3 linked regions of the Lonchura striata genome follow. The protein of the gene in region 1 purifies or fractionates together with the protein of each later gene. This does not show direct contact. Links are inferred from orthologs where the notes say so. Each region holds a gene or a part of one and is shown in the gene's direction. Other genes may lie near its edges. The genes, in order: DGCR8, SRPK2 and USP36.

What was found.
Region 2: the proteins of DGCR8 (region 1) and SRPK2 purify together in Homo sapiens (affinity purification with mass spectrometry; 3 studies listed by BioGRID and IntAct, with this or other methods). This does not show direct contact. The link is inferred for Lonchura striata from reciprocal best matches to the Homo sapiens genes DGCR8 and SRPK2.
Region 3: the proteins of DGCR8 (region 1) and USP36 purify together in Homo sapiens (affinity purification with western blotting; 3 studies listed by BioGRID, with this or other methods). This does not show direct contact. The link is inferred for Lonchura striata from reciprocal best matches to the Homo sapiens genes DGCR8 and USP36.

The regions. Positions count from the first base shown.
Region 1 is NC_134620.1:8,228,759-8,238,854, forward strand, and holds the start of DGCR8 (microprocessor complex subunit DGCR8), read left to right. Parts: upstream 1-6,161; 5' UTR 6,162-6,302; intron 6,303-10,096.
Region 2 is NC_134607.1:59,971,134-59,980,725, forward strand, and holds the start of SRPK2 (SRSF protein kinase 2), read left to right. Parts: upstream 1-5,831; 5' UTR 5,832-5,846; coding exon 5,847-5,862; intron 5,863-5,964; coding exon 5,965-6,049; intron 6,050-9,592. UniProt on the Homo sapiens protein: Serine/arginine-rich protein-specific kinase which specifically phosphorylates its substrates at serine residues located in regions rich in arginine/serine dipeptides, known as RS domains and is involved in the phosphorylation of SR splicing factors and the regulation of splicing.
Region 3 is NC_134621.1:11,755,409-11,765,558, forward strand, and holds the start of USP36 (ubiquitin carboxyl-terminal hydrolase 36), read left to right. Parts: upstream 1-5,965; coding exon 5,966-6,268; intron 6,269-6,621; coding exon 6,622-6,911; intron 6,912-6,980; coding exon 6,981-7,198; intron 7,199-7,873; coding exon 7,874-7,984; intron 7,985-8,251; coding exon 8,252-8,354; intron 8,355-8,965; coding exon 8,966-9,033; intron 9,034-9,433; coding exon 9,434-9,504; intron 9,505-9,856; coding exon 9,857-9,939; intron 9,940-10,150. Other genes in the region: TIMP2 (metalloproteinase inhibitor 2), read left to right, coding at 3,050-3,150, 3,232-3,340, 3,656-3,780, 4,174-4,374. UniProt on the Homo sapiens protein: Deubiquitinase essential for the regulation of nucleolar structure and function. Required for cell and organism viability.

The DNA.
Region 1 (10,096 bases):
TGAATCCACTGGAAAAAGGATACTGTACCTACAGTTAACAAAGAAAGTGTTTTATTTTTATAAAAGTATTTTTAATAATAAAAGGAATTTTAAATTTTAAATAATAAAAGGGAGTTTTAAAGGATATAAAGGAAAAAGGTGTATATAGGAAACTACTGCATGGCATTTTACTAAGTTTGCTTATGCATACCATTTCTTCAGTCATCCATTTGCAAGAGGTTTTTGTTTCCTGATTTTTTTCTATTGGAATGGTAGTGGAAGAACTTTTAAAATGTGTAAAACCTCAGCTATGTTTTTTGCTTAAAATTGTATCATAATTGTTGTTTACATGTGTGTTCAAAACTAGAATCAGAATAAAGTCAAGCTGGTGACCAGTCTTTGTTGGCATTAGTAGATTGTGCATTTTTTGCACATATGTTTTTGTTCATTTGCCTGTAATTTGGTGTGATACAATGAAGTAAAATCTTTAATGCCATATTAAGGATGAAGGAGCTGTAATTTAAGTTCTGTTTCTAGTACTTAATTTTAAGAGTGCTCTATTTTTTGCGGGGGGGTTTATATTCTTGTGGGTATTTCCTAATTCTGTGCTATTGTATGGTTGTCTTAGGTAAGAAACTGGAAAATATTTGAAAGATAGGAAAGAGCGAAATTAATGCTTCCTTAGGGGAAAGTGGAGCCTCACAAAATGCTGCTGGAGGATGGGGAATCCCTGTTCACTGTGGAAAAGGTCTGGATCCTTGGCAGACCTGAGACTCCTATTACACTGATTAGAGCTTGCATTAATGTTCTGCTGTACTGGCCCCTGCAGTGGAGGTGGAATTGTCTCATCTCCCTTGTAGCAGCTTAATAAAACACACCTGAACAGAGCAGAGGAGGAGTTGGGCCTTTGGAGTTCCTCTATGTTCAAAACTTCATTGATATTTATTGTTACAAGTGAAATACACCAAACTGAATAATTAAGATAAAATATTGATAAGACTTGAAACACTGTTTTTGTCATACTATAAGGAAATAACTAATTTTGGAATTAATCTATGCAATACTAAGCAGTAATAAGGCAATAATTAAAGTATCTCACATTTCAGTTTTAGCCTATAGAACTTAATGCACATTTATGGCTTAGCAAGTATCCCTATTTATATGGAATATTAGATAGTAGGAGTTAGGTTTTTTTCATTCAAATTGATGTAACAGGACATGGCTGATGTTCTTCATCTGATTCATTTTCTGCAGAGAAGTCTTGTTGATAGCTTCTAAGGATCTAGGAAATAGTCTTGACTTGGTGAAAATAGAATCAGTGCTGCAATCAGCTGGAGAGACATGAACTGTGAGAATTACAGAACCCATCAGTGTGACTCATGCTGCAAAATGTAGGTTAAGGTGAACAGACTGAAGAAATGTTGAATATGTTTCTCATATATATATATATATAAATTATCTGTGTAACATTGTGTATCAAGAACTTAGAAGCTGAATGAAAGCAAGCCAGTTGACATGCTCAAATTTACCCTGTCTTTTGAAATAGAAGACATAAGCACTGAACATAGGATCACAGATGAGGAAGAAATAATAAATATTATAATATTAAGCAGGATAGCCAAAAATGACAATGTATAAGTTATGCACAATATGAATAAGAAAAAAAGCAGTATCTCTGCTGATGCACATTAAATTGTCATGTCTTTGCACTAGAAAGATACATGGAGAAAAATTATTGAAACCTAAATGCAGATCAGAAGATGGAGAGAGGAAGGGGAAAACAGAGAATACAGAATGATACTCTTGGTTTGTGCTGCTGTTCTCTTTGAGGCCTCTGAGTGACAGTGCCTGCTAAGGCACTCAGGTGCTTTCCAGCTTCCCTCTGGTGATGCTGGAGTGTTTTCCATCGGTGTCTCTCCTGACACACAGAGCCAGCTCTGGTCAGTAACTTGCCCGACTGGGTAAACACATTGCTTGCTTCTGTTCAGTGGAGAAAACCACATCACTTTTCAGATGTGAATTAACATACATTAAATGATAAACTAGAAAATATGTGGGGCCAGTAGTGTCTCTTTTTGTGGTATGCCATTGTAATTAGTATTCAATGCTTGAGGTTTTTGCCCCTGTTAAAGGAATGTACTCTTGCAAGGAAAAGGTGAATGAGAAAGCTAGGCTTTTTTTTTCCTTTCCCTACGCTATATTTGCTGTCAATAGCTACTCAAAATAACTATGTAAAACCACATCTTAGTCAGATGCATTATCCATCTCCTGTTTCTTCTGTCTCACTGGTATGGCTGGGATTTAGAGAAGAATTAACTGTCCTCTCAGTTACAGATGGGTCTGCATTATCACCCTGGTTTGATTAGTGCCTTTACATAGTTTTCCTTGTTGATTGTCCCTGTTTACTGTGCCTTGGCTCACATTTCAGGGCAGCCTCAGGTGCCAGGGTCTAGGCTGGTTTCAGATGGAACAGAACAGGTGCTTGAGGAATGGACCAAGTGTTCTCCAACAGGTAATGATTTTAACCTGAGCAAAACTGTCTGAAATGCACCTTGCATGAAGATTTAAATTCTCTGCACCAATTATTTTGCTGCATAAATCTTCTTATGTTAGCCTCTTGTACTTCTGAATGTAGCATATATAGATGTGTTGTGTCAGTGTCTTTGCAATACAGCAGTTGCAAATTTTCTTCTTTTCTTTATCAATATATTATGCCAGTCAAGTCTGAGTTCTCTCTTGTAATGTGCATGAGTTTAGACTGGCAAAGCAATCCCAGGATGGCAGCTGCATTAAAAACAACCCTAGCAGCACAACTGTGCTCTCAGAACTGTAATTTATTTGGCCTCTGTCAGGGAAAACAAAGGTACTGACATTTATGGTTTTACTTCTATAAGTGCAACTACACCTGGATTTTTGACAGCCAGAGATTACGCTCCTGATTCATGTCTGTGTGCTGCCAGCAATGTAGAGACGAGTCCAGGCTGAGGGATTGCAGCAGCAGCTTCTTAGCTGTAGTTCACACAAAGTGTGTACAACCAAGTGTGCTTTGTTACCACAGCTTTGAGTTACAAACTTCATGGTGTATGATGGCTCACAAGAGAAACTACCATGCAACAGCAGCTGGGGTAGCCAGAATGCACAATGTGCATACAGCCATGAGGCTGACTCAGATGATGTTTCTTATTTTAAGTTGTAAAGAACAGATAAGTACTGCCTATTTCAGCACAGTGTTCTGAACTATTTGGATGACAGGACCTACAGAAATCAAAGTTTGAAGACTACTATTCTGTCCCACATAGATATTATTTCTGTTTCTCTAATATCCCCCCTAGATAAATTGAGTGTATTTTAAGAATGCAGAATCTTCAGCCATAGGAATAGGTTTGTGCTATGTATGAAGAATAACTAAGGGAAACCTCAGTCACTGTAGGATAACACTAGCCCAGGTGCAACTGGCAATTGAACAGAATGTTCCTTCTGCATGGCTTGTACAGCCCAGTTTGTAATGTGAAGGTCACTTGGTTTTGGTCTTATTTTTTCTTGTTTTAACTTCCAGATTTCAATGCAAAGCTGTTACTTTTTATTTGACCACTTAGACATCATATCACACTTTAAGCAATATTGTCTTTAGAAAAATGTCTGCATTATTGGGAAAATTCTGCCAGCAGTCTGAATTTTGGGAGAACCATTTGACTGAAGTATTTCCAACAGGAAAATCAGAAGTCATATGTGATTCTGTAGACAACACAATTTAGATTATGTTGAATCTGTCAATGTCAAGAGCAAGATTAGTAATTGTGTGGTATCCTTGAGCCAAAGACTCTGTCTACTTTGATTAGTTCTTTTAGCAATCAACCACCTCTTTTGACATTCAAGAACTTACCTGAGATTGCTCATTGGGTCCTTTTGACATCTCTCCATGGCTGTGATGTGTGACAGATTAGATTGAGGACAGCAGATTGCAGCAAGAAGCAAAAGACAAAGATATGTAATGCAAGCAGATACCAGTTTACCAATGCCCCCAAAAAAAAAGTGAAAAGCTGCAGTGCAACTTATTTTACTGAAATAAAAGTAATGAAGGCTGAGCAAAACTTGTCGTGCAGAAGCTTTTGCTGTTGAAACAGCACAGTATGTGCTGCAGTTACTGACATAGGAAGAATATGAAAAAGCCACTGGCTCCACCTAATTTTCGATCCAATGAATGCAGCCTGTTAACTTTATTGGGAAGCTCATAGTTCTGTCTTTACAGGCCTGATGGCTGTATTTTGTGTGAACAGCAGTAGTTTCTGTACAGCCTTCAATATCTTGTATATGAAAATCTCCTTGTAATTAGGAACTGGTTTTTTGTAGATAACACTTCATGGCATTATGGTTAATCCTGATCGCACCATGCAGGTGGACCTGTACACTTCTAATTCAAAAACTGAAGATTTTTGTGCATGCTTGACAAGTCTTCCATCAGAAGTCCAGGTGATGAAAATTTTCAGGTGAATTTTGCACCTTATTAGAGCAGATGAGAGCAGATGAAGTTTAATTCTTGAAGGGGTTTAAAAATTTAACTACAATTTGAGCATTTTTTGGATGAAAACATTGTTTTGTTAATAGATTATTATCCTTTTGTTTATAAAATTAGGGGTCTATTTCCTTGTAGAGTCTGTGTCTCAAAAAATCAGCTGTTGCACCATTAGTTTAAGACATACTCTTACAATTCTCTGAGAACAGATGCACAATGGAAAAACTAAATCTGTTTTTTTCATTTTTTAAACACTGCAGGCATTTTGATTCTCCAACTCTATACAAAAATCTCTCTGTGTGCCACATCTGATCCTAACTGAAGCACTGCTGTTCACATACATATAAAAAATATAACCTCTTTTCTGAAGTATGGGATCTTACTGCAGTAGTTCATTTATATGTCACATAAATGGGGTGTCAGTGAGTCACAAAACTTGAATTTTGGTAGGTCCTTTGAGAGGGACAGACTTCTGTACCAGTGTTAGCAATTTGAGGTGACCTGACACAGCAAATACCAGCATTAACTCAAGCTCTTTACTTAATTGTGAGATCTTTTTCCTCAGCTTTGACAGTTGAAGTGTGATGTGAGTGGCTGTTTTGCAACCTGTGGGTGTTTATGAAATGCACATTCTGAAGTGCTTTGTTTTAGCATTAATAAAAGCAGTCATAATTTAAAAATCACTAAAATAATGGTTTGAGTGCATAAGCCTGTTAGGAGGAATTAAAAATTAGAGACTGCTTTTAGTGGAAACTGCATTCAGTTTTTGAGGGCAGCTTGCAATGATTTAAAGCAGTTTTGGTAACCTGATCTTTGTGTTGACATGGTACCATGGTGTTATGTCCAAATTATCACCCTATCATTAGAAGTGTTGGTGCAGCAGGACACAAAGATGTAAAGACCTAACAGCAGTCTTCCAAGTAAGTTTTTAAAGTTTTATTAAAACATTAGTTATCTTTCATAGTAGTATTTGGGGACCTCAAAAACATGAGATCAGTCAAATACTAGAAAAAGACTTTCATATCCTGAAGTCACACATGAAACAAGCACAAACATACTATTGGTGATGAAATCAGGATCCATTATCACAGTATTTTGTCTGATGTTGATTTCCAACTAGTGAACAACAAAAGAAATAACCCTATAAATAAGTATATCAATAAAAGCTCTATATTGCTCGCAAATGATAAAATAATAGAGCAAACCAGGACAGCAAATGTTAACACTTTCGAAGTAATTTTACATAAATTATGTAAGGTATTTTCAATAATTATTTAGTAATACTGTCTAAACACTGCAGTCAGATTTGGGACTTGTTCTGTCAACTGCTTGGTACACAGAGCAGCAGAAACGCTCTACTTTGATTTATCCTTTTGAGGTAGATCAGCCTTGTAGTGATATTGTAGTTTTGTTCCTTAAAGATACAAAACAGCGTTTTCAGGGAAAAGTGGCTTTTTTTGTACGGGGGAAAAGGCCCCAGCGGTGCCCGGGCCACACAAAGGACCCGCCCGCCCCGCCGCGGCCCGGGCCTGTGAGGGCGGGCGTCTCTCGCGTTCCTATTGGCGGAGCGCGGTGACAGGCACGGGAAGGAGCCAATGGCAGCCGGGATTTCAAATCGGTGACCGCGTTCGCTACGGACGCCATTGGCTCGGCGCGCGCGGGGTCCCGCCCGCGGGCCGCGGAGGGGCCCAGCGCAGGCGTTTAAAGATGGCGGCAGCGCGGAGTGCGGGACGGCGATCGTGAGGCGGCCGGACTCGCCCTCACCCGCAGCCCCGGCACAGGAGCGGCGGGGCCGCCGGGGATGGCCCAGGTGGGTGCGGGCCCCGCGGGGTGACGGGCGGGGCGGGCCCGCGCGGGCGCCAACCCCTCCGCCCCACAGGCCGCAGCGCCAGCGGGCCCGCCGCGCTCCCGCCGCCGGCCCGGAGCGGCCCCCGGGCGCGGAGCCCGGAGCAGCCGCTCCCCGAGCACCGACGTCCCCAGCGCTGGAAGGCGCCGCCCTGCCCGCCGGGCATTGCCGTGCGGCGCGTCCCCTGCGCCCGGCCTGAGCGGCCTCTGCTCAGAGCTGGTGTTTGGTTTTGTTGGGGATTTTTCTTGTGTGATTTTGTGTTTTGGGGGACTTTTTTGTCGTTCCCCGCCTACCCTGCTCGCCTCGCCGTGGGATTGCGTTGGGGGTTGTGAAGGGAAGGCAAGGCCGTGCCTGTGCCCGCGGCCCCGCCTGGCCGGGCTGATGCGGGGCCGTGCCTCGGGGGTTCCGCCGCCCGCAGCCCTTTGTACGGGGCCGGGAGCGCGGCTCGGCCCCGCAGCGGAGTTGGGAAGAAAAGGCACGACGTGTGTGCGGGCAAACGGGCACTCCTTTAGTTCTGGTGCACTGAAGGTAACGTGATGTCTGGTAATTCTCAGCATTCTTCCTAATGTGTTCTTTTTATTAATAGTAAATTATCTCCTTCAATCTCTGTAAGGTTAATGCTCCCAACTTTCTTCATTTTTTTTAAATTTTTTTTTAATCTTTTTTTGGTTGGAAATAGTTCCTTCTTTTGTACCTCCTTTCCTTAAGCTTTGGGTTTGTCTGCAAAGTTTGTTTGCCTGCTGAGACCTGAATACCCAGGCGTTGCGCGACCATAAACTGGAATTGGGTGAACACATTCAGTTTTCTTTATTCCGTTAGAGGTCTTGGAACTAGATCTTTTTTGTTTTGTGATTTGAGAGATTGTTCTGTTTGGGTAATTAAACTTGGGGGCTCCTATTTTTAATTCTGGATGAGGAGTTGGGTCGCTAGGCACCGCCTTCTGATTATCAAGGTTGTTTTGCTTCTTTAGAGAAAGAGAAGGGGTTTTGGTTCCTTATGTCTGTTGTTTTTCTTTTCAAGTAAGAAGCTTACATATAATGGGAAAGGAAGACTATATTTTCTGTTTTCTAGGCTCTGATTTTCGTCTTTTGTAAATCAATTTCTTGTCTTACATAATTAATCAAGCCATCTAAATCATGCCAGAACACTGCTCAAGCTCTAAAAGCAACTGTTGTTTTGCCGTTTCTGAGGATAGCTTTCCAAAATTATGTTCTCTGTTCGTTCTGAAATGGAATGAAGTGTTAGGAACTAGAGAAGTTACTGAGCCTTGTCTGTATTTGCACTGATAATATGATTGTTGGGTTCTGGCTCCATTTTCTTAACCATCCTTGGTTAACTGACTTGCACAAAGTGCTTGTTTCTTTCAGAATCTTTCTACACTACAGCTCATAATAAGGAGAACTGAATTCTTACATGTAGTATTATCTTAAAGCACATTTTCTTTTGGTATTTTCTGTTCTGGTTTAAAGAAAATAAATTCTGTCTCTTCAGGTTTTGTTTTGGATTTGTGGGTTTTCTTTTTAGCAGTGGTAATAAATAGGATTAACTTATTTCTAGAGTTGTATGTGTTGAAAAGACACATTAGGTATTCATAAAAAGAAGGTAGATGACTGAGAGTGGGAAATTAATTTGATATAGGTTAATGGATCAGCACCTGAGTTGCCATTTAGGGCTGGAGGATGAGGCGGAGGATTTGTATTTGGTTAGCAAATAAGGAGAGTTTCCTTTGAGCCACTCTTCATTTTGGGGTTCACTGAATGTGAAGTGAGCAGTCTCTGACACAGTTTCTTTTCAAAAGTGACTTTTTGAAGAGAGAATTTGTGGTATGCTGTTCCTTGCTGCAGCTACGTGTATTAGTAAAGAAAATATGTTCTTTATTAAATTCTTTTCTAGACTGCTGATCTGCTGTTACAGAAAGGAATTTTTCTTTGCGTTTGGGTGATGCTAAAATTTCCAAATTTTAAGATTCTGGGGTTCTTTTCTGTCTTGAAAAAGGATACCCTTTTTTCTTTGTGTTTTTTCTCCCTTTCCTTTTTTGTCTGATTGTGGGACTGGGCAGTGGTACTTACTAAGCAAAGTAGATTTGGTTTTTTCCTTTTGGCATTTAAAGGACATCTGTAAGACAATGAGGCTAAGATTACTCTGCTTTCTTTGGGACCTGTGCAGTTTGCTATATTACATTTATATGCTCCCCAGTATCTGCATTGTTTAGTTTACTTTGTGGCATGAAACTTTTTTAAACGATTAGCTAAAGTAAGAGTAAGGAGTTAAAATTGTGGAAATTCCATGTGCTTGTAATCTGCAGAACATGAGCTGTGCACTCACATTTTCAGTGTTTGTACTGCCTGCTGCAGCTGCCAGTGGTGTTTGTCTCTTCGGAAGGAATGAATCCTTATGGAAATAGTTAATGGAACTTCGTGGAGCCTTGGAGAATAAAATGTTATTTCAGGACAATTCCGTGAAGAATCACAAAAGGAAACTGACTTATGTTATGATGTAACTTGGTATGCTGAGCCTTTTTGTGTGTGGCTGTTATATTCCCTTTTCTAAGGCACATTTGGCTGTTTGTTACCTACAAGCTCATCTAACTCATCCTTTTGCCTTTTCTCCCTTCTGTCTCTTCAAATACCTGATAGCTCAGTGGTTTTGTTGCTTTGTTTTTGTTTTTTTTTTTTGGGGTTTTTTTTTTTTTGTTGTTGTTGTTTTTTTCTTTCCCAGCCCCTGATATAAAGGGCATATTGTAATGTCAGCTGGCAGGGAAGTAGATGGGAATTGGACTTGTGTTCCACTTGTTCTGCCTTGCTTTTTGTGGCTTTTAGGCAGGTATTGTAACCCACTGTAACTGTAGAGCTACTGTTACCTATACTCAAAAGAGAGAAAAAAACCCTTGCAACAGTGTTAGAATAGTAACAACAGACCTTTCTTTGGAAACCTCCAGGTGTCTGGTCATGATGGCACACCTGGCACCAGATTTCTGCTATTATAAGGTTAATTAATTAGGGTATCTAACAGGTACACCCAGGAGATTCAGTTGCCCTTGTAACCCATCCCTGGGTCCAAGGGGTCTCTGCCCACTTCTTATTATGTCTTATTGTAGGTCCCCTGCTTAGAATAAGACTAAACAATATACCAGGAATGTGTTTAGAAGGTCTTATTGCTCTAAAGTCTAAGTGGGAAAAGTACCAGAGTTAATTAAGGAGCTATATAACTCTATAGTAGTAGTCTACAGAGCTGCAAATATATGAAAAACATATAAAAAGCAAAAATCTTTTTGGCATTACTACCAGCCTGTTATTTTACCCTAGAGATGTGGCAGGTTCATGGCTAGAAATGGAAAAAGCTCATTTGAACCCATTTTGGTCTAGTACTTTTCCTGAGCCAGTGTGTGCTGAGGAGCAGAAAATCCCTGGCTGTCATTTGCTGTTCATCGTTCAGCTATTCATGGTTTCACAGCCAGCAAGAAAGGGAAGACAACAAGAATATAATTGTTACCAGTGCTTGAATAGAATAACAAGACATCTTTCCTGCAAAGAGCAGAGATGTTGTATCAGTGAACTGCCTGAGCTGGGCAGGTAAAGGTTAAGTATTATTTTGACATTGGTGGTGGTAAAACCCTTCAGCATAGGAGCAGGACATGTATCGGGGGTCTGGAAGTGGCATTGAGGATCATGTCGTAGCCTTGTCAAAACTAAGTCTTTGTCAGGATGAGGAAGCTCCTTGAACACAAGGGAAGGGTTTGCTCTTTCAAATTCTAGAAT
Region 2 (9,592 bases), on another chromosome or scaffold:
AGGAGCACAGGGAATTTCCCATGCCTAGAGGTGGATAATCAGTCTTTCTCCAGTTCTTTGAAAATAAAAAGGTTCATTCATGAGTGCTCTTTGTGAAGGCTAACAAGGTTGGCTAACAAGTTAAGCTATTTCTGCTTTTATTTTAACACTTAGCTGTAAGATTTTCAGGAATTTGAAAAATTCCTGTAGCTGTTTTGCATGGTATGTTATAGACCTATCCAGACAGAATGAAACTGAATGGCTAGTTCATAGCAGTTATGAACCAGGCTGGTAATGTCTATGACTATGAAGCTGGCTGAGATTTCACTTTGTAAGATCCAGTTACTGTTAACTTTGTAAAATTTTAATCATATAGAATGAAATAACCCATGCTGAGTAATGAAATAATTAATACTTTTAAAAGAATGCTGTTTTGATAATATGAAAAGAATCCTCAGCCACTTCTCAGAAATGCCCCTCTAGCCCAGTAGTTCTTTGGATTCAGTATGTAGTCAAAACTAATTAAGCAAAAGAGGCAATGTTCTGTGCATTAATGGCAAACAATAGTATACGGATAACTGTAGCTGCTAATGCACATTGCCAGTGTAACTGAGCCATCCTTTACCAATGGTTGCTTCCTATGGAACAGGACAAATCTGCTGTCAAGATGAAGCTCTGGAACTGTACCCAGACTAACTTGTTTGGCCAGTGTTTCTTTATGGGCCATTCCCCCCACAGGAGTTGATTTCAGAATGCATTGTAATCTGGAAGTTTGTAAAGGAGCTGTGGTGCTCCCTGAGCAGCAGTGGGGTACTGGCTGTTAATTTCCCAGAACGGTGTTGGTGAGGGCGTTGTAGCGATGTCACACTGCAGGATGTGTGAAGAAAGGACGTTTGGGGTACTACTGACATAACATGGCATCATCCTACTAGTCAGCTGGTGTCTGATTTTTCTGAAGGCTGTGAAAACATCTTGTATAAAGTAAAAGTACAGGGGAGGTTACAGGGAAGAAAGAAGCTTTATTCTTCCAGAGAAAATGAGTCCATTGATTCCTCTTACATTACGTTTAAGCTTATGGCTTGTCCCTTATTGTTTTCATTGTGACTATTTGTGTAGTCCAAGTCAAGAGAAAGGGAAACAGGGTAAGCCCTGCACCTGATTTCTAATGGATTCTCATCTCGTTTGTTGGCAATCCCTACCTTTGAGTAGGAGGCTGAGATTTCATAGAAAAAGGCCTGAATATCAAAGATGTGCAATTGAAATCCTTAGGAAAATCTGCTTTAATGTGGGCGAATTATGAGACTTCATAAAACAGCATTTTCCGCATGTTGGAGGCATGTGAGTGTTTAATAATTAAGTTTGAAAATATTCCACGCTTACTTAGCAGATGAATCTCTCACATGCATGACCAGACTGCATAGCTGCCAATCAGAAAGAAGTTGTAGGACTGAATCCAAAATACCACTGCATTTCTGCTGAGAAACTTCTGCTATAAATGCTTGTGTCTAGGTTGAACAGAAAACTGAGAGCAGTTGCTAATCCTTCAGTGATCCTTTCTTGCCTTGCTGACTTCTAATCAACATGAAGGAAGAAACCATCCAATTAAAAAAGAATGAAAAAAAAAGGATAATCTATTTGAAAAAGGAGATGATGCAGGTCAAGATGAGAAGGGCAAGCTGGGTAAAGAGCTGGGAACCAGGAGTGGAGTCTAATGAGGAAATTTTAGACAAGGACCCAAGAAACTGGAGGAAGTTTAATTGAAGAGGTGTTTGGGAGTCTGCTGGAAGTAATGGGGGAAGCTAGAATGAGTCATTCTGAAAACCTGTGTGCTTCAACACTAGAAGAAATATTTTCATAAAAATATTGCCAGTCTGTTTTAATTCTATTTCAGGTCTAAGTCATGCCAGTTCATGCCCTATTTTAAACAACATTTAATACATATCTGGGTTGATGCAGCTATTTCTGGGCACAGGTTAGTCTTTAATTTCATGTCAAATTGGTGTTAAACCGGTCTGCTTTGTCCTTTATGTCTTTCTTCTTTTATTAGTAATCCAAATGAACTTGATAAACAAGAGTTCTCTACCAATGTAAACTCTATGTAGCTGGCATGCACTGTACTATTTTATAGATGAAGAAAATTAGTCAGGTGAGTCATGTAATTTGCTTTAGGAAGGGCACAATGAATCAGTGAATGAGCCAGGAATCTAAACTAAGGAATTTCTGACCTCCTATTTTTTTTGGAAATCCCAACTCATGCTTCCTGCTATTTTTTCTCATTACACTACTGAGATAATAGACTACTTTTATTGTTTAACTTGTGCAATGCTCCTATTAATATTAACTGGTTATACTTAGGCACTGATGAGCCAATAGTTTTGACCTTACAAGAAACTCAGCTACTTAGCTACTGTTGCTTAATCCTTCCTATCTGTAAATTTGTTGTCTCTGTTGCTCAAAACCAAGCTGAGAATTGTCCTCTTTGCTTTGTTTACATACTAGAGAAGGAAAAAACACTTTGGTAGATAGAAAATTGTTAAAATGAGCAAGAGAAGGACAGACTCATTGTTTGTATTCCTACTTGGGTGTGTCATACTTAAAGAAATGCAGAGTGGGGGTGGGAACTGAAGGAACAAGAGACAACAATGAAAGGCGAGAGGATGAGAAGGCTGGACTTGCATATTAATGAGAGCTCGCCTGTAATTGGGAATTTCCTTTCACTACATTTTTCTTTTTCCACCACTTATAATTTTGTTGGGTTTTTTCCTTCCTCTGCCTTATGTGTTATTTCATGTGTGTTCCATTCTGTGCAAGAGCAGCATGAAGTTGGCTCATATCCTGATTTCTGAGAAGCACAGAAATAAGAATATGAGCCCATGCTACTACAGAGTGGGAAAAGCAGTGCTAAAAGGAAGAGGTACAGAAATCAGGGCAAAATTTTCTAACATCCCTCTGCTGAAGGAAGTGCTTTCAGTTATTCTCAGATAGATGACAGTATCATGTTTAGAGGACTGCTGCTAGGTAACTTCTTATTCTGTACAAAAGTTAGTCTTCATATGTAAGGGAATATTTCAAAGCTAGGTCAAAATGAAACAAACCAAACATCTGTAGGTATCAGATCCAAGCTATATTTTAGACAGGCAAAAATACCATTCCATAATTTGATACTTAATTCTTCTTGTCTCCTGATGTTTGCAGCTAAGATCACCTAAATCTGTTGTTGTGTCTCCCTTCTGCATAGGTTATATCACCTGAACCTCACAGTGCCTTTCCCCTGAGTGAATGAGCTCTATGGTAATTCCTGCAACGAAACAGACACCTGTTCCCATAAAGTGTTCAGAGAGAGACTGGCAGATATATTCTGGCTCAGTCCACCTTTATGTTGTACACTGATTTTGCAAAAGCTGCACTTCGCTATTTAGCCTGTCTTCTCTCTTGACTCATCATTTCCTTTTGAAGAAAATGTATATTTAAATAAAGATGGAAAAATTCCCTGAAATGAGTGAAATCAAATAAACAGGATAGACTCCTTCTTAACAAGCATATAAATAAAATTATTCTTGTAATTTTGTAGAATTTCATTTGCTATTTGTGTTCTCAGGGAGTTATTCTCTTGAGTCTGAGAAATAGGGTGGGGGCTGTTGGTTTTTGTTTTTTCATTTTCTGAAATATGTTTAGTCTCTACTGACCTTAATTTACTCTCCAGTCAGTTAATTGCACATGGTAATCCTCTATACATACATAGAGAGTCTCAGTGATTTTTGATCATGCACTTCTGCATGATCATCCTCTGAGTTATGCTTGACAGGGTTGCGGAGAAAGAAAACAACAAAACCCCAATAAAATGCAGTCCCAAAATATGTTTCCACTAGAACAGAATGAAATTGTGTGCGTAGTAGACACCCACCTGGTTCGAACAAATCCTTTCTCTGTGTGCTGGCAGATTGTTCCCTTGCCCTGATTATGTTACTGACATTATGCTCATGAGGGAAATTCCTTCCTGACTCCAGATCTAGTGGATTTATAATCCTGTTGATGTAAGCAAAGCTCCCTGTACTTATCTAAGACTCAATTGTCCAATCAGTTCTACATATAAAACTCCAGGTAAAGCAAATAGAATGGCACACAAGTTGCTGAAAAGATGACAAAGACCCTGGTATGGTTTCTGCTCTAGAACCATAGCTACAAGATAATTTTAATGCAACACTGCTCTGACAAAGAAAACAAGCAAGTCTTATTGTTTTCTCCGTCATCAGCTGCTCTTCTCTATTATTCACTACACAAGAAGAAGTATTCATGCAGACACACCATTTAACCAGTGAAATTAAAATTAGCCTGGAAATAATGAGTAAATACATAATCTGCTTTCTTAACATTCAGCTATTATTAATTTTCATGCACCTAAACTTTCTTGGCAGAAAATCTTCAAAATTTCAATAAAGTCTTTGGTTACCTATCACACTGAACTAAAAGATTAACTACAGTAAGGGAGAAATGTAACCGACCAGTAGTGCATATTGCTGGTAGCAGTTTATACTAAAAATGTTTATTTCCTGTGTTCTTTTATGATGGAGGATGGGACACAGAAAATGTTTTAATTTAGAAATGCAGCTGGGTGCCTCATGAGAGCTGCAGTTTAGAAACTTCATGGTCCTATTGTTTTCTGTTCACCAGGCTCTCTAGTTAGACAAAAAAGCATTATACAGTGTAGTGCCTCCTTTTTGGGCTGTCTAGCTTTATGCTTCTGTGGCTCTCTCCCTCCTAAGCTGAACTAACCAGACCTACGGATTCAATTTTCTGTCTAAATGAAATCTCGATCCAATTACTTAAAGACCAGCAATTACTGCTAGTTCCCTTCACTCTCATAATGCCTTGACTATAGCTGCTTTTAGGATCTTCATCCTTACGGATTCCTTGTGTTGCCACTTAGGGAGGCAGTTCTGTCTCAAAATTTAATGACCATACCCCGTTACCTTTCAGTTACCATGCCTTGGAATTCCACTGCCATGTGAAGATAAGCCAGACAAGCCTCACTCTTAGACTGGAGCTTTGGATATGACCCAGATCATAGCGGGCCCCAGGCATTAAGGTATAGATGGCACAAGATTTCAGTCATAACACTGTCAAGCACTGAGCTATGCTGTGCACAGCTGAAGTAAGAAGGGACGGTGTTCACTGGGCCATTGACGGGTCATTACTATGCCAAATCTGAGCAGTGCCTGGTACCATGGGCAACAAGATGCCCTTGGCAGGAAAAAAAACAATTGCCAAGAGTTGTTCGTCATGATAATCAAACAACTTAGTGAGAATCAGAATTAAGGAAATCTAATTTCCCTGGATTTGGCCACGACGATAATTGGTTCTGGCATCTCACCCCACACAGGTTTCGGGACAAGCTAAAGCTGATCTCGTCCCAGCTGCTGCCGTGGAGAGCCCGACTCCTCTCTCCTCTGCCCTTCCCGCAGCTCCCAATGCGGCACGGCAACAGGGCGGATGGCCCCGCTACTCCGGTCACGACCCAAAACTTGGCAAAATTAATTCCCCTTTGGCTCGACCGCCCGACAAAGCCCCACGTCGGCCGCGGGGCCGCTCCCGCCTCAGGCGGGGCCGTCCCGCCTCAGGTGCGCCCGCCCGCCGCCACCTGCCGCGCCCCGCCCCGCCCCGCCCGCGCCTTTCCGGCCGCGGCCCCGCGGCTCGCCCGCGCCTGCGCAGCGGCGGCGGCGCGGGGCGGCGGTGGCGGTGCCGATGCTGCCGGACGGTGCCCGGCGCGCGGTCGCGGCTGGCGGCGGGGCCGGGAGAGGAGCCGGACGCGGGGCCGGGCGCGGGGCCGGGCAGCGGCGCGCCCGCCGAGCAGCGCGCGGCGCGGGGCGATGAACTCGCGCAAAGGTACCGCGCTGTGCCGGGCGGGAGGGCGGGAGCGGGGGGCTGCGCGGCCGCCGCCGCCGCCGCTGCTCACGCCGGGTCCCGGCTATTCTCTTCTCCCGGCAGTGCTGGCCCTGCAGGCCCGCAGGCGGCGGCCCAAGCAGTCCGCGGCGGCTGGCCGGAGGGACAAGCACTCGGCGCCCCACAAAAAGTGAGTACGGGGACCCCCGACCCGCCGGGACGGAGCCTCTCCCCGCGACCCCTCCGTTGTCTGCGCGTCGCTGCCGGCGCCCGTGGCCCCCGCGGGCCGTCCCGGCTGCCCGGTCCCGCCGCCCGCGGGGCACCGGCGGCTCCCCCGCAGGGCACAGCCCCCGCCCGGGCCGGGGGATGTCGCCACGGCCGGGCGGGGACCGTCCCCTGCCCGGGCGCCGGGCTCAGCATCCTTCGGGCAGGGCTGCCGGTGCCCCGTGGGAACCCGCGCCCGGCACTCCGGCCGCCGGCCCTGAGAAACCCCCGGTTTGTCGGGGATCTGCCAGCCCACGTGTTCCTCTTCGTTCTCCCTCCAGTTCTCTCATCTTTTTGATCTCCTTTTCCAGTGCTGTCTATTCCGAGGTTTCTTTCTGTATCGCTGTCCCATCTACAGGCAGTCCTTTTTGCATCCTTCTCGGTACCATCAGACTATTTCCCTTTCCCAGATGTGTCTAATAGCCAACGATGCTGATACTGGTATCTCTTTGGCTTGTTTTAAGTTTCTGTTAATTCTACAGATATAAGAACAGAGGTTGTTCTCTGTTTTCCCCTTGTCTTCTGCAAGCCCTTCATGTTCTTGTCACTGTCTAGTTGATCTTTTCTCATTATACTTTTCACTGAACCACATGGGAACATTCTTCCATCTCTTTAGTGTTTATTACACCTTAGTATTTCCTAGGACAGTGTGGCTTTGGACTGTTTAATTTTTTGTCCTTGAAGGATTCCATGCTTCTGTTACTAACGTTCACTTGTTTTGTTCAGTGGACTTTATTGGTGACTCGTTAAGTTGCCAGTAGGCTCTTGTCTTTGTTTTCATTACTTAGGGATCCAGTCTACCTGCTTTGTTCTGACAAGGAAATACGTCCTGATGTCACTCAATTCCCTCTCTTCCTAGCTGGCTGTTCTTAGAGCTGGGAAGCAGTGCATGGTGGATGGATGGATGGATAGATATGTGGTGGGGGGACATGCTGTTGTGTGCTATGGCAAATGATTCAAGAGGCAAGGTCTTTTTGTGATGTCTGCTGGAAGAAATAATATATCTCTGACTGTGAAGTATTTGATTTGCCTTTTTTTTTTTTGCTAGTTACAATGAATGGGTGCTATTCTCCCCTTTAGGATGGGTAAAAATAGATGAGGTGGAGGTGCTGGTGTAGTGCGATTAGACTTCGACACCTAACTTTGTTCACATCCTGTTCCACTAGTGGTGTTTCCTCCAGCATTGTGTAAAAGCTGTATTATGCTTTCAGTTGTTTGAATTTGGAGTTACTGCAATGGCAACAAATGTTATGTGTAAGATATGCAGGAATTGATTCCCTTGTTTTCAAAAACCTTCAGATTGTAATGTTACGTGCATTTGTCTTTTGCTGGATTGAACATGGAAATAGGTTAAATTTCATTGTAGCTCTAGGTTCAGTGTTATTTTTGAAGCTTTCAGTTAAGTCTTAACCACAAGGTTGTTAATAAACTTCTATTATTAGGTGATAGAGCATTTAATACACTTTTTAGGGGACCTAAGTGGGATGTTTTGCTGAATGAGTTTGTTAAAAGTTTGCTTTCACAGACAATAAGTGCAGAACTGGTAGTCTTTGTGTTTGCTGAAGAAACTGGCTACTGTTAAGTCGGGGTGCACAGTCAGGATCTGGCCATTTGCCTGGCTGAGTTGGCATTTCCAGACGCAATGCTCCAATCCGATCAGTTGCCTTATGAAACAAGTGGTTTTGCTGTAGTTGACAAGAGCCATCTTTTCTCTTCTGATATGTATGTTGTCTCTTCAAACCACTTCTATGCTCTGGAGACAACCTACTTTGTTTCATGCTTGTGTATGAAAGCGAAACTCCTATCAAGTTTTTAAGTCTCCTTGCAAATATTTGAGGCTCCCAAAGTAAAACCAGTGTCTCTTTTGTCCTCTTCCTGGTCTTACTTCAAATTCAACTGCTACAGCATATTCTAGTAGTTTAGAGGTATATGGTACCTGTGATGCACATCAAATGCACAGTATCTGCAAATGAAAATGCTTATTTGAGGGGTGGAGTAAGTTCCCTGTAGTGAACTTGTTCACTACAGGAAAATTGTGACTTAGCCTTGAATCCAAAGCAGTTGTTTTTTTTTCTTAACTGTGGTTCTTAGGAAAACTTTTCTCTGCCAGGTCAAAGCTTTATGGAATAACTTCCATTGTTGCTGTTAACAATGTGTTTCAAAGAGAACTGCAGGACTCCCCTTGTAAAATTGGCTAGGAGAGTTATATGGTATTGTAGCTTACTTGCAGGCTTTTGTTTCAAGAGTATTAAGGTGATGACATAAGAAGAAAAAACTGCAGTACTCTGAGTAGCTTTTTGTCTGTTATGACCTTATTTGCCAAAGAAGGCTGTAAGATTGGTCCTGTAACTGCTCAGTGTTGACCCCCTAAGTCAGTGAAGAGAACTGGTGGAGGTGAATCTGTATTTTTTGGTGTTTTTTTTTTGTTTTTTTATTTTTTTTCAGTAGGATGAAAAAGAAAAGAAAATGGAAGCTAAGTGTGCTACAGTTACATGTAATAGTAAAATTTACTTAGTATGGCTTTACTTTGAAATCAAACATTCAGGCTACTGAAATAGAGTATCTCACTGTATTATGATAAATTAGCACTTGATTTTGGTTGTAATAGATGAATTTGTATGCAGTGTGTGCAAACTACTAATGTATTTTTTCAGCTGGACAAAAGATTAAAAAGATTAATCAAAATTGTTAATTTGAGTCCTCTGCCATTTATTTCTCCTTAAAGTGGAGGTCTGCATTGAGAAGGGTCTGTGAAATAGTGATTTTGACAGATGTCTGAGTCTGTTGAGAGATACACTTGCTTATAGGCAGACAGACCTGTTTACTGTCCTTCACTTAGTGCTAGCAGACAGCCTCAGACACATCTGCCTTTTCCATTTAGCAGAATGGTAGGCTCTTTATGTTCAGAGTAGTATAGGCCTCACCTTGTGTAAACTTCTACCTTGGATATGTTTTTTTGCTTGACTTTATTTTAAGTGAATGTGACAAAAACAAAGTGAATATACAGTTAGAGTTGTCCTCATTTGCATGTCACCTGTACCTTTTAACTTTATCCAAAGTTAAAAGAAAGCATTTGGTAAGTAAAAAAAAAAACCTAGATGATGGTGTGTAAACCTATGGAGAGACGATTATGTATATTTTGAGGCAAATGTATAAATCAGATACCAAGACTGATTTTGGTTTTGTTTTTAAGCAGTACTTTAGAGCAGGCGAACAGACCATGTGATACTGCTTTGCAGTGGTGCAGTACATCCGTGTTGGCTAACATGGCAAGTGCCAGATTTCTGCACTGTGCACTTCCAGATGTCTAACTTCATGAACCTACAAGTATTGTATAGCTAACAAGGTTTAGGATATGTTACATTATTATGGGATCTTAAATGAGTAAAAGTCATGCACTGCTATTGTTTGTTATTCTTTCTCTACCACAGTGTTTTTCAGCCTCTTTCAGTTTTTTTTTTTCTTAGAA
Region 3 (10,150 bases), on another chromosome or scaffold:
CGGTGCCCGGTGCCGGTGCCCGGTGCCCGGTGCCGGTGCCGGTGCCCGTGCCCGGTGCCCGTGCCCGGTGCCGCCCTGCCGAGCGCTGGCGCGGAGGGGCCGTGGGCCGAGGCGGGGGCTGCCGCTGATTGGGCTCCATCAGCTCCCGTCAGCGGCCGGGATGACGCACGCGGCCACGGCGGCGCTCGGCCCGCGGCTCCCGCGCAGCCCGGCGGGGAGCGGGACCTGCTGCCCGCGCTGCCTCTCGCCGCCCCGCAGGCACTGCCGGCCACCAGGGAGTCTCCACGGCCTTCGCTTCCTCCTCGCTGCCGGGCTGCGCTGCTCAGCCCTGCACGCCTCCAGCCTCAGCATCCTCACACCACTGTGCCGGGGCGGGGTGCCAGCCGCGGCGGCCGCTGGCGGGCGGGCGGGCACTGGGATGCCAGCAAACACCTGGGAGGTGGCTGTTGCCCTTGCGCCGGTCAGGGCTGGGTGCAGGAATCCCTCCCAGGGTGGTTAGCTGTCTCCCCATCTCCACTGGCCTCAAGCAGGGCTGGAGTGACTGCCCTCACCAAGGTCAGGTGCCCGGGCTGGCAGTGCCAGGCAGGCAGCAGGCAGTGCTGGCATTGGCAGCCAGCCCCTCTGCTGCCAGCTGCCCTGGAGAAGGGAGCTTTGTTCTCTGGGCATCCAGCCTAGCAGTGGCCCCTGCTGTCCGTGGGCACTGGCGCTGCCCGGGCAGCTGTGGATGCGTGTGGGCAGGGTGGCTTGGTGGGATTTGGGGCGGCAGAGCAGAGGAAGAGGCAGCAATTCTGCAAGTCCTGGGCCAGAAAGGGGTTCCCATGGCCAAGGGTCCTTGTGGTGCTCTTCTTCCCATGGGGCACAGGCAAGCACAGTGGTGCCCTGAGGTGGGGTAGCCCTACATGGGGCCATGTAGTAGAAATTCCAACACTAGTAAGCCCAGAGAGACAGCCTGGTGGTTTTATGGCACTGGATGTGCCACAAGTGATCTATATGTCCCCAAATGATGCTGATGGCAGAGGGCAGCAAGGGACATGCTTACCTTGCAGGATCTCTCTGTCCCTGCAGGGTCCAGAGTCCTCACTGTGGGGAGGCCACAGTGGCAGCCCTGGGGACCCGCACAGGAGATGTCACCAGTGGGAATCCCACTCTGCCAGGGGACCCTCTGCTGCCATGGAGCACCTTCTTGCTTGGCCTGCCTGGGGCAGGAGTGTTTCCTGCATTTCCCTGGTCCAACTTGGTAAAGCAGAGCCAACTGTGTGCTGTGCCTGCCATGTGCCCCAGGAGCCAGAGAGCCTTGGCTCATCTTCAGAGAGGGTCTGGGCTCCCTGGCTGGTGGTTGCTCACGTCAGCAGCAGGAGTGGTGAGTGACAAGGCCAGTGGGGGCATTGGTGTCTGGGGAGGTCTGACTACTGGTTCTTGGGCACCCAGGGGTCCATCCCTTGCTCAGCCTCCTCATCCCAGGCTCTCCTCAGGGTTCCCTCTGCTGCCCTGGTTCCTGGCGGGTGTGGAGCAGCTTGGCTGCGCTGCGGGGTCTTGGCGGGGAAAGCACAGCGCAGTCGTCCCCTCCACAAAGCCGCACTGTTCAGAACAAATCCACCCAGAATCGGGCTGCATTTTTGTCAAGTGATTCATCAGCACGTGAATGGAAAGGCTGGAGCCCACTGAACCAGCAGCCATTCCCCACACGGGAGCCGGCACTGGCTGCACCCGAGTTACGCTGATGGCACGCAGGGCTTGGCTCACAGGAGCCATGGTGGCCGCGGGGGCAAGGGGTGGCTTGTGTCTGTAGTGATCCCAGCACACTGCTGACAGAGGAGTGGGTGCTGTCCCCAGGCATGGCTGAGGTGCTGTCACTGTGGCTGGATGGCCCAGCCCTTCCCAAGGGATGGGAGCAGTTGGGAAAGCCCTCACTGCGGCCATTGCTTCGCCCAGCCCTGCACAGAATGAGTGCTGCCTGTGACTGGGAGATGGCCATTTTGGGAAACCTCTTCCCTGGTCCCTGTTCATGTTGGTGCCACTCTCACCTTTCCAGAGTGAACTGTATTGACACTTGCTGGTGCCCATGTGGGGCTGTGCCCCCCTGACCTTCAGCTTAAATAGCCTGCCTGCGTGCCCCCACAGCCTGCAGTATTTATAGAGTGCGGTCAGATTTCCTCTCCTGACCATGCCAGGTGGGAGAAGCTCCTCTGTGCCAGGCAGTGGGTGACCTCTGCATGTCCCTGGCTGCTGCCAGCCCAGCACCCTTCAGTGGGGACATGAACCAGGATGAACTCTGTGAGAGTGCCCAGCTCCCTGTTCCCTGCCCCACAGTGCTCGGGGGGCTGGCAGGGCAGGGGGAGCCCTGCAGGGTGGAGAGCTGCCCTTCTGTTGGATGGGGGTACCCATGGCAGAGCAGGGAGCCCTGCCAGCCACTGCCCTGCAGCCAGGCCCCCTCCATACGCTGAGTGCCGAGCAGGAGCTCTAGCTTTGGCACTGCCACTGTCCCCTACATCATCAGCATCCCTGGTGCTGCCTGGGAGCTTCAGCCCCTGCACTGATGGAGGGAGCTGAGCACAACTGGGGGCTGCAGTTCCCAGTGCAGGGACCCAGGCAACCTGCCCAGCATGAGCCAGCCCGATGTCCCAGCCGGTGAGCAAGGCTGAGCTGGCTGCCCGCCTTGCCTGCCTGGCCCCTGCAGGTCACTGCCACGTGCCGAGCACTCACATGCCAGACCGCTCATCCTGAGCTGTGGCAGCAGCATGACCGCAGGGACCCTGCCACAGCAGAGCTGTCCCCTGGCTCACCGTGCCACAGCCTCACCAGCCCTGGGGCCAGGTGATCCTCTCATGAACTTTCCTTATCATGGCCTTGAGGCTGCTGCTGCAATGCTGCTGGTCACTGTCCTGCCCGTACCAGAGCTCCATCCCTTTGGGGACAGCGGGTGACAGCCAGCTCTGGGGGCAGCCAGGCAGGCAGTTGGGTCTGCTGCAGGCAGTAGTCCCCTGTGAAGGAGGGAGACAGTGTGAGATGCAGGGACTGGTCACCCCCTTACCTCACCTCTCCCTTCCAGTGATCCGAGCCAAGGCTGTCTCTGCAAAAGAGGTGGATTCGGGGAACGATATATACGGGAATCCAATCAAACGCATCCAGTATGAAATCAAGCAGATCAAGGTAATGGGGCACATCGGGTCAGGAGGCTGGGGCATGGGGTGGCCCCTTCACCAGCCACTCATGCCTGCCTCTGCTTCCCAGATGTTCAAGGGCCCTGACCAGGACATAGAGTTCATCTACACGGCTCCATCCACTGCCGTGTGTGGCCGGCTGCTGGACACCGGCGGGAAGAAGGAGTATCTCATCGCAGGTGAGTGCTCCGGGGAGGGCTCTCGGGGGGCGTCGGGACAGTGCTGGCCTGGATGCCCCATGTGCCCCGCAAGGTGCCTGATGTGTGCCTGCTTCCTGGGCACATTCTCCCCTTGCCCTCCTGCTCAAGCCACTGGCCCTCGGGGAACCCCTGGCTGTGTCCCGGCTGTGCTCAGCAGTCCCAGGCCATGGTGGGGGCAAGCTGGGAACAAGCCTCAGCTCCCCAGAGTCACCATGGATAGGGCACAGTGAGGGGCCCCAGGCACCATGAGTCAGCACGGGATCTCCTTGAGTGGTCTGTCTGGCCTCTCCCCAGGCAAGTCAGAGGGCAATGGCAAGATGCACATCACGCTCTGTGACTTGGTGTCCACCTGGGACTCGCTGACCCCAACCCAGAAGAAGAGCCTAAACCAGCGGTACCAGATGGGCTGTGAGTGCAAGGTGAGCAACCAGGCTGCCTCCCGCATGCCCCCTGCCCCACACCAGGGAGGGTCTGCAGCCCCCAGGCAGGGGTGGGCTCCACAGTGAGATGCTCTTCACTGTCCTAGACACAGGACAGTGCATCCTGGAGGATGCACAGCATGTGGCTGGGCAGACAGGAAGGGCTGCCCTGCCTCTGTCTTCCTCCAGCTGGGAACCAAGGCCAGCCCTGGGACTTGCAACCAGGGGTTGCCCAGTTCCCTGCATTGGGGTTGCATCCCCACCATGCCCCACAGGGCAGGGTCAGCCTGGCATCCCTGTCCAGAGCTGGGGGCTGGATGAAGCAGAGCATGCTGCCTCCCCCTGGCCCATTGCCCCCTCGGGCTGGTGGGTGACAGTCTCTGTTATGCACAGATCTCGCGCTGCCTCTCCATCCCCTGCTTCGTCTCCTCCTCGGATGAGTGTCTGTGGACAGACTGGGCCATGGAGAAGAACAATGTGGATGGGCGGCAGGCGAAGCACTACGCCTGCATCAAGAGGAGCGACGGCTCATGTGCCTGGTACCGCGGCATGGCCCCCCCCAAGCAAGAGTTTCTCGACATTGAGGACCCCTAAGCCAAACGAGCGCATTCCAGTAGCCAGTAGAAAAAACCTGCGAGATGTTAGACTGGTCCACGCTGATATCAAATCCTGGAGACAGCATGAAAATCCACTTGGCTGCAGGGGGCCCCAGTGGCTGCCACACGTGTGGGGGCCAGGGCCAGGGACCCGTTCTGTTGCAGGCTCCTGGCAGCCCGCAGCTGCACTGGGCATCCTTTGCTCGTGGCAGGGCTGAGCAGGGTGTGGGGACCTCCCTGCCAGGGTCACAATCCCCCAGCCATGCTTGGCTCTGGCAGCTGTGAAGGAATCAAGCCCTTGTGAGTGGTGGGAGCTGCCCTGGCTGCGTAGCAGGTCTACCAGTGCCCCGCTGTAGAGCCTCCCCCACAGCTCCAGATACACAGCCCTCCCCACCGCAGCATCTGGCAACCCTGCTGTACCCCTTCCCCCACCACCTACCTCTCCCTTCAGGGTGCCAGAAAGGCACCCCTCTGGGCAGGGGCTCTGGGGGGCTTTACCATGTGGCACAACTCCCAGGAAGGGGCTCCGGGCCTTTCAGCGGGCCAGATGACTCCTGCACAGGTGCCTTGTTCCATAAAGCTGGAGGGGCATGTTAGCATATCTGGGGTGACCCCTGACACACACCCATGCACTGTTGCCTCTCCACATGGTCCTCTCTCCAGGGGTCTCCGTTCCCCTGCAACCTCCTACAGATCCTTCTACAGATGCCACCACTGGACAGGTTTGACCTGGAACCTTTGGCAGGGCACCAGGGGCCGAAGCTCTGGCTGCATGGGCACAGGGTGTCCATCATCACCTCGTGCAGATCTGGGCCATGCTGTGGCACTCAGCACCACTGCAGCCAGGCAAGCTCCCTTCTCCGTGGTGTCAGGAGTGGAGCCTGGAACTGGCAGCAGGGCGGCTGCAGGAAAACCTGTCCCCTCCGGTGACCCCCTCACACCCCTCGGCCCCGAGTTCTCTGAGCCATCCCCATGCCACAGCAATGCTGGCGTGTGCCGCGGAGCTGTCGCGGCACTGGCACGTGCACTCATGGCTTTGGGAGCGCGCCGGGAATGCTCCCTGCAGCCCTGTGCCGGTGGGGTTTTCATGCTGTGCTTTGAGATGTCGTACTGGACCAGTCTGGGCAATTTCAACATATTAAAGATAAAAATTAAAAAGAAAGAAAAAGGAAAAAAACCCCAACCTTTACTCAGTCCCGATCGCGCATCCCGGGCGCTCTGTATGGCTGTACCCGTTGTGCTCCTGTCGCTGCTGCTCCTCTGTCTTTGACTTCAATATCGCCACTTGTTTTGCCGCCGGCTGTGTCGTCCCTGTGCCGTGATTTCCGTCTCCTCGTCCGGCGCTGGAGCCGCCTCGGTACCCGCAGAGGGTCCGTGCCGGGAGCTCAAGGGGGAAGAGGGGCAGGACCGCTGCTCCGGTTCGGACCTGCGGCGGCTCGGCCGGGACCCCCCCGGCCCTCCTCAGCGGCGGAGAGAAGCGAACCACGCGGGGCCGGAGGGAATGGAATGAGACAGGGAGGGGAAGAGCTGAGGCGGGCCCACCCCCGGATGCGGGCGGGATCCGACGGGACCGGGACCGGGGCGGGACTATGACTCAAGGGACGAGGGCGGGGTCGGGGTACCGCATGGTGGCCCGTCCCGGGTGGAAACGTCCCCTCGTGGGACCGTCCGCTGTGGCCGCGGCGTTACCGGCCGCCTTAGCCTCGGCAGCCCCGTCCTGCCTCCGTCCGCGCCGGGACTCGCAGCGGGCGGGCGGAGCTCGTGTCTCCTTTGGCTCTTCCCAACAAGGGGCGGAGCGCCCGCGTCCCCGGGCTGCGCCGAGCGAGCCGCCCCGCGGGGCCGGCGCGGAAGGAGTTTGTGCCGGCGGCGGGCGAGTGGCGGAGTGGCGACACGTGCGTGCGGCGGGACCCGGATGGTGAGCGCTGCCGGGACCGGGCGGGACGGGCCCGGGGACGCCGGGGCCTGCGCCCCGTCCCGCCGCGCTCCTCTGCCCTGCCGGCGGGGCCGCCCGTGGGGAGCGGAGCGCCGGGAGCGGCCGGGCCGCATTTGGCGGCGGTGGGGCCGAGGCGGCGGTCGGGGTCGCGGGTGGCGGCGGGGGGTTTGCGGTGCCCGTGGTGGCCGAGGGACGCGCCGAGAGGGCCGTGGCGGCGGCCGGTTGCTCTGAGAGCCGGAGCGCAGCGGGACAGGACAGGCCTTGCCGGGCCAGGGCCCCCCGCTCAGCCACCCCTTTCCGCCCTCTGTGCAGCCGCGGCCGCCGGGCCCGCCGAGCCGGCCGCCCACGGCGATGATCGCGGAGAAGCTGCGGCAGGCGCTGGAGCCGGCGCGGCGGGAGGCGGCGGCGGAGCTGGGCCGGCCGCTGGCCGCCGCCGCCCGCTCCGTGCTGCAGCAGCGCATCGAGTTCGCGCCCGCCCGCCGCGGCTTGGCCGGGCAGCTGGAGCACCTGCGGGACAAGTACGAGCACATCGGGGCCGAGGTCCTCGGCCGCCCCCTCGGCATCACCGGCACCCTTCCGGAGCGGCAGAAGCCCCCCGGTAAGTGGAGAGGGTGAAGGGACCCCTCCGTGCTCCTGCCCCCGGCTGACTCGCTGCTCCCCGCAGGACACAGCCATGCCCTGCCGAGGGCCGCGGGTGACGGGATCCCCACGCCGCAGAAGGTGCTCTTCCCACCCCAGAGCCTCTCCATGAAGTGGGAGCGGGTTCACCGTGTGGGCGCCGGGCTGAGTAACCTGGGCAACACCTGCTTCCTGAACTCGGCGCTGCAGTGCCTGACCTACACGCCGCCACTCACCAACTACCTGCTCTCCCGGGAGCACGGACGCACCTGTGAGTGGGGACCCCGGTTCAGGGGGCCGGGAGGGACGAGCAGCATCTGCCTGACCTGCTCACAGTGCTGCGCTCAGCACCTGTGTGCCTGGCTCTAGTGAGGGAGTGCAGATATTAGGATGCACCTTCCCTGCCCTGTTCCTTTCTGCTTGTTTCTCTGTCAAGAGGCTGTTCCTGGGTCCTGCTCACTTTTTCCTGGCCGTAGATAGCAACGTTCCCAAGCTTGGCATCTTTGTCTCTGCTGGGTGTAGCCAGGACTAAGATGGGCCCAATGGGGCCTACCGGCTTCTTGGGGGCTCAGCTGGGGGGTCCTGAATAGCCCCTTACTGTGGGGAGTGCAAAAGAGCAGCGTGGCAGGCACTGCTGTGAGCTGTCACCACAGAGAACACACAGGCCTTGCAGCCCGGTCCATAGGACTGCCGACGGGATCTGCCCCTCAGGGCCAAGCTATGGGCTTGTCCAGTGCTTACCTGGGACCTGTTTTCTATCAGTGTGAACGCTGTCTCTTATGGGCAGCCACCGTGGCTGGTCCTGTGATGGGCTTTGCCAGAATGGGCTGATCCCCATCAAGCTCATAGGGAAAACTGAATGTGGCTGTACTGGACCAGAGATCCCTGTCCTGCCTCCATCTCTCCTGGTTTTGTCCTCAGCATCATGTTGTCTCTCCTGCTCCAGGTGCCCACGGAAGCTTCTGCATGATGTGCACTATGCAGAACCACATGATTCAGACTTTTGCCAACAGTGGAAATGCAATAAAGCCACTCTCCATCATCCGAGACCTCAAGAGTAAGGAGGGCTGCCCCCCACCATGACTAATGTGGGAGCAGAACTATTGGGATTGGGGCATGTTTTGGGAAACGGCTCCACTGAGATGACTCATGGAGCCTTGGAGTGCCTGGAGACTTCTTGGGCTGCCAGGGTCTTCCTCTGTGACATGAGTCTGATGTCTGGTTTGGGCTGAGGGGACTCAAACCAGGGAGTTCTTGCCCCAGGGAAGGCAGGGAGGGATGGCATCTGTTACAGCACATGCTGAGTCCTCTCTCTCTCTTGCAGAGATTTCCCATAACTTGCGCTTCGGTAGGCAGGAGGATGCACACGAGTTCCTGCGTTACACCATCGATGCCATGCAGAAGGCCTGCCTGAATGGCTACACCAAGTATGTGGGGCCTGATGGCCCATCACTGCTCTTTGCTGTTCCCTTGCTGGTCCCCTGCACTCACGGGAGTGGACTGTGGAGTGAACATGTGCCCCAGGTCAGCCTTATTATGGGGAGGTTCTGACTCCAGGGGCCTCGGGTGTGGGGTCCAACTCTCTGCCCCTCAGGGACAAGACTCTGGGCTGTTGTTCATCTTCTTCTGACTCCTCTACCTCAGCACAGCTGCAGTCCTGCCCCCAAATCCTGAGGCTGCTACAGGCTGGAGTTGCATGCCAGTTGCTGAGGGATACAGGCCTACTTGCTAGTTTAGCCGCAACTCTGTGGCTGTGGAAGGGCAGCTTCCCCCCAGCCCTTTGTCCTGGGAAGCACTGCCTTTGCTCTGAGCTCCAGCCAGGAGCTTCAGTGTTCTGGAGAGGAAGGTGTGTGTTGGAGCCTGGTGCCACCCCTCAGCTGTGACACAGGGAGAGCAGTCTGGCAGGGACTGTGACTTCCCACCTCCCCTGGGGCTCCACAGCCCGGCCACTGACCAGCACGTGGAGGGGGGCTGTCCTGACTGGTCCGACAGGGCTGGCTGCTGCAGTGTGAGATATGGTGCTGCTGTCTCTCTGTAGGTTGGATCGCCAGACCCAGGCCACAACTCTGGTTCACCAGATCTTTGGTGGTTACCTGCGGTCCCGTGGTGAGTACCAGCAGTCTGGGCCTGGGCAGTAAAACCCTTTGGGAAAATGGCTTACATGTTTAACTTATTCAGAGCTGCAGTCGGTCAGTCCCGCAGCACTTGTGGGTCATGACCCCTGGTGTGGCAATGGGAAAAGCCATTGACTGTGGGGCCCAAGCTGTGGGGTCTGTAGCTCACTGCCATCAGCAAAAGGAGCCATGTTCCCAGCTGTCTGGCAACACCTTCTTCCCCAGCACATAGTGGATGTGCCAGCCCTTCTCCCTGCAAAGCTGTCAGTCCTGGTGCTGACATCCTAGAGCCCAGACCTGGACTGGGGGACACTGCAGCTGTCTGTGCCGTGCTGGGGTGTGGCAGGTGCTGGTGTTGTGCCAGGGTGTGCCCATGGCTCTTCCTTTTGCAGTGAAATGCTTGGAGTGCAAGACTGTCTCGGATACCTATGACCCTTTCTTGGACATGACACTGGAGGTTGAGGTACTGCTGTGGGGTTGGGGGTCTTTGCTCTTGAGAGGAATGTTCCTGCTCTGAGGCTTCTTAACCTGCAGACAGTGCTGGCAGGAGGGAAGTAGCTCCTGCTGTTGCTCCTCCTTCCCTGTCTCACAGAGCAGTGCCTGTTGCCTGAAAGTGAGCCGTGACCCCTCTGTGCAGGCTCGGCAGTGCTGTGGGGAAGAGCAGGCACCACGCTGTGCCAGGGGCAGGCTCAGGACTGTGGGGCAGCCTGCAGCCCTGTGCTGTGTGCTCTCTCCTGGGGCCAGCACCTCTGCAGGGAGCGGGGCTGTGCTGTGGGCAGGCCCCACGTGCCCTGACCTCCACCCTGTCCTTGCAGCGAGCCGCAAACATTGTGCGGGCCTTGGAGCTGTTTGTCAAGCCAGAGCAGCTGGGTGGGGACAACGCTTACAGGTGCAGCATGTGAGTGTGGGGTGCTGGGGGCATAATGGGGTCCACGGGTGTGCTCTGGGAAGGCTGCCACAATGTGAGAGGGCTTCTGTGCCTGCTGCGTGGCTAAACCATGAGGTGCAGGGCCATGGAAGCTTGTGATGAAGCCTGCTGCTGCTCAGCTCCCTTGTCTTCAAAGGAGGACCTGGGCCTGCGGGCATAGCCATGGGGAGGTGTCTGAAGC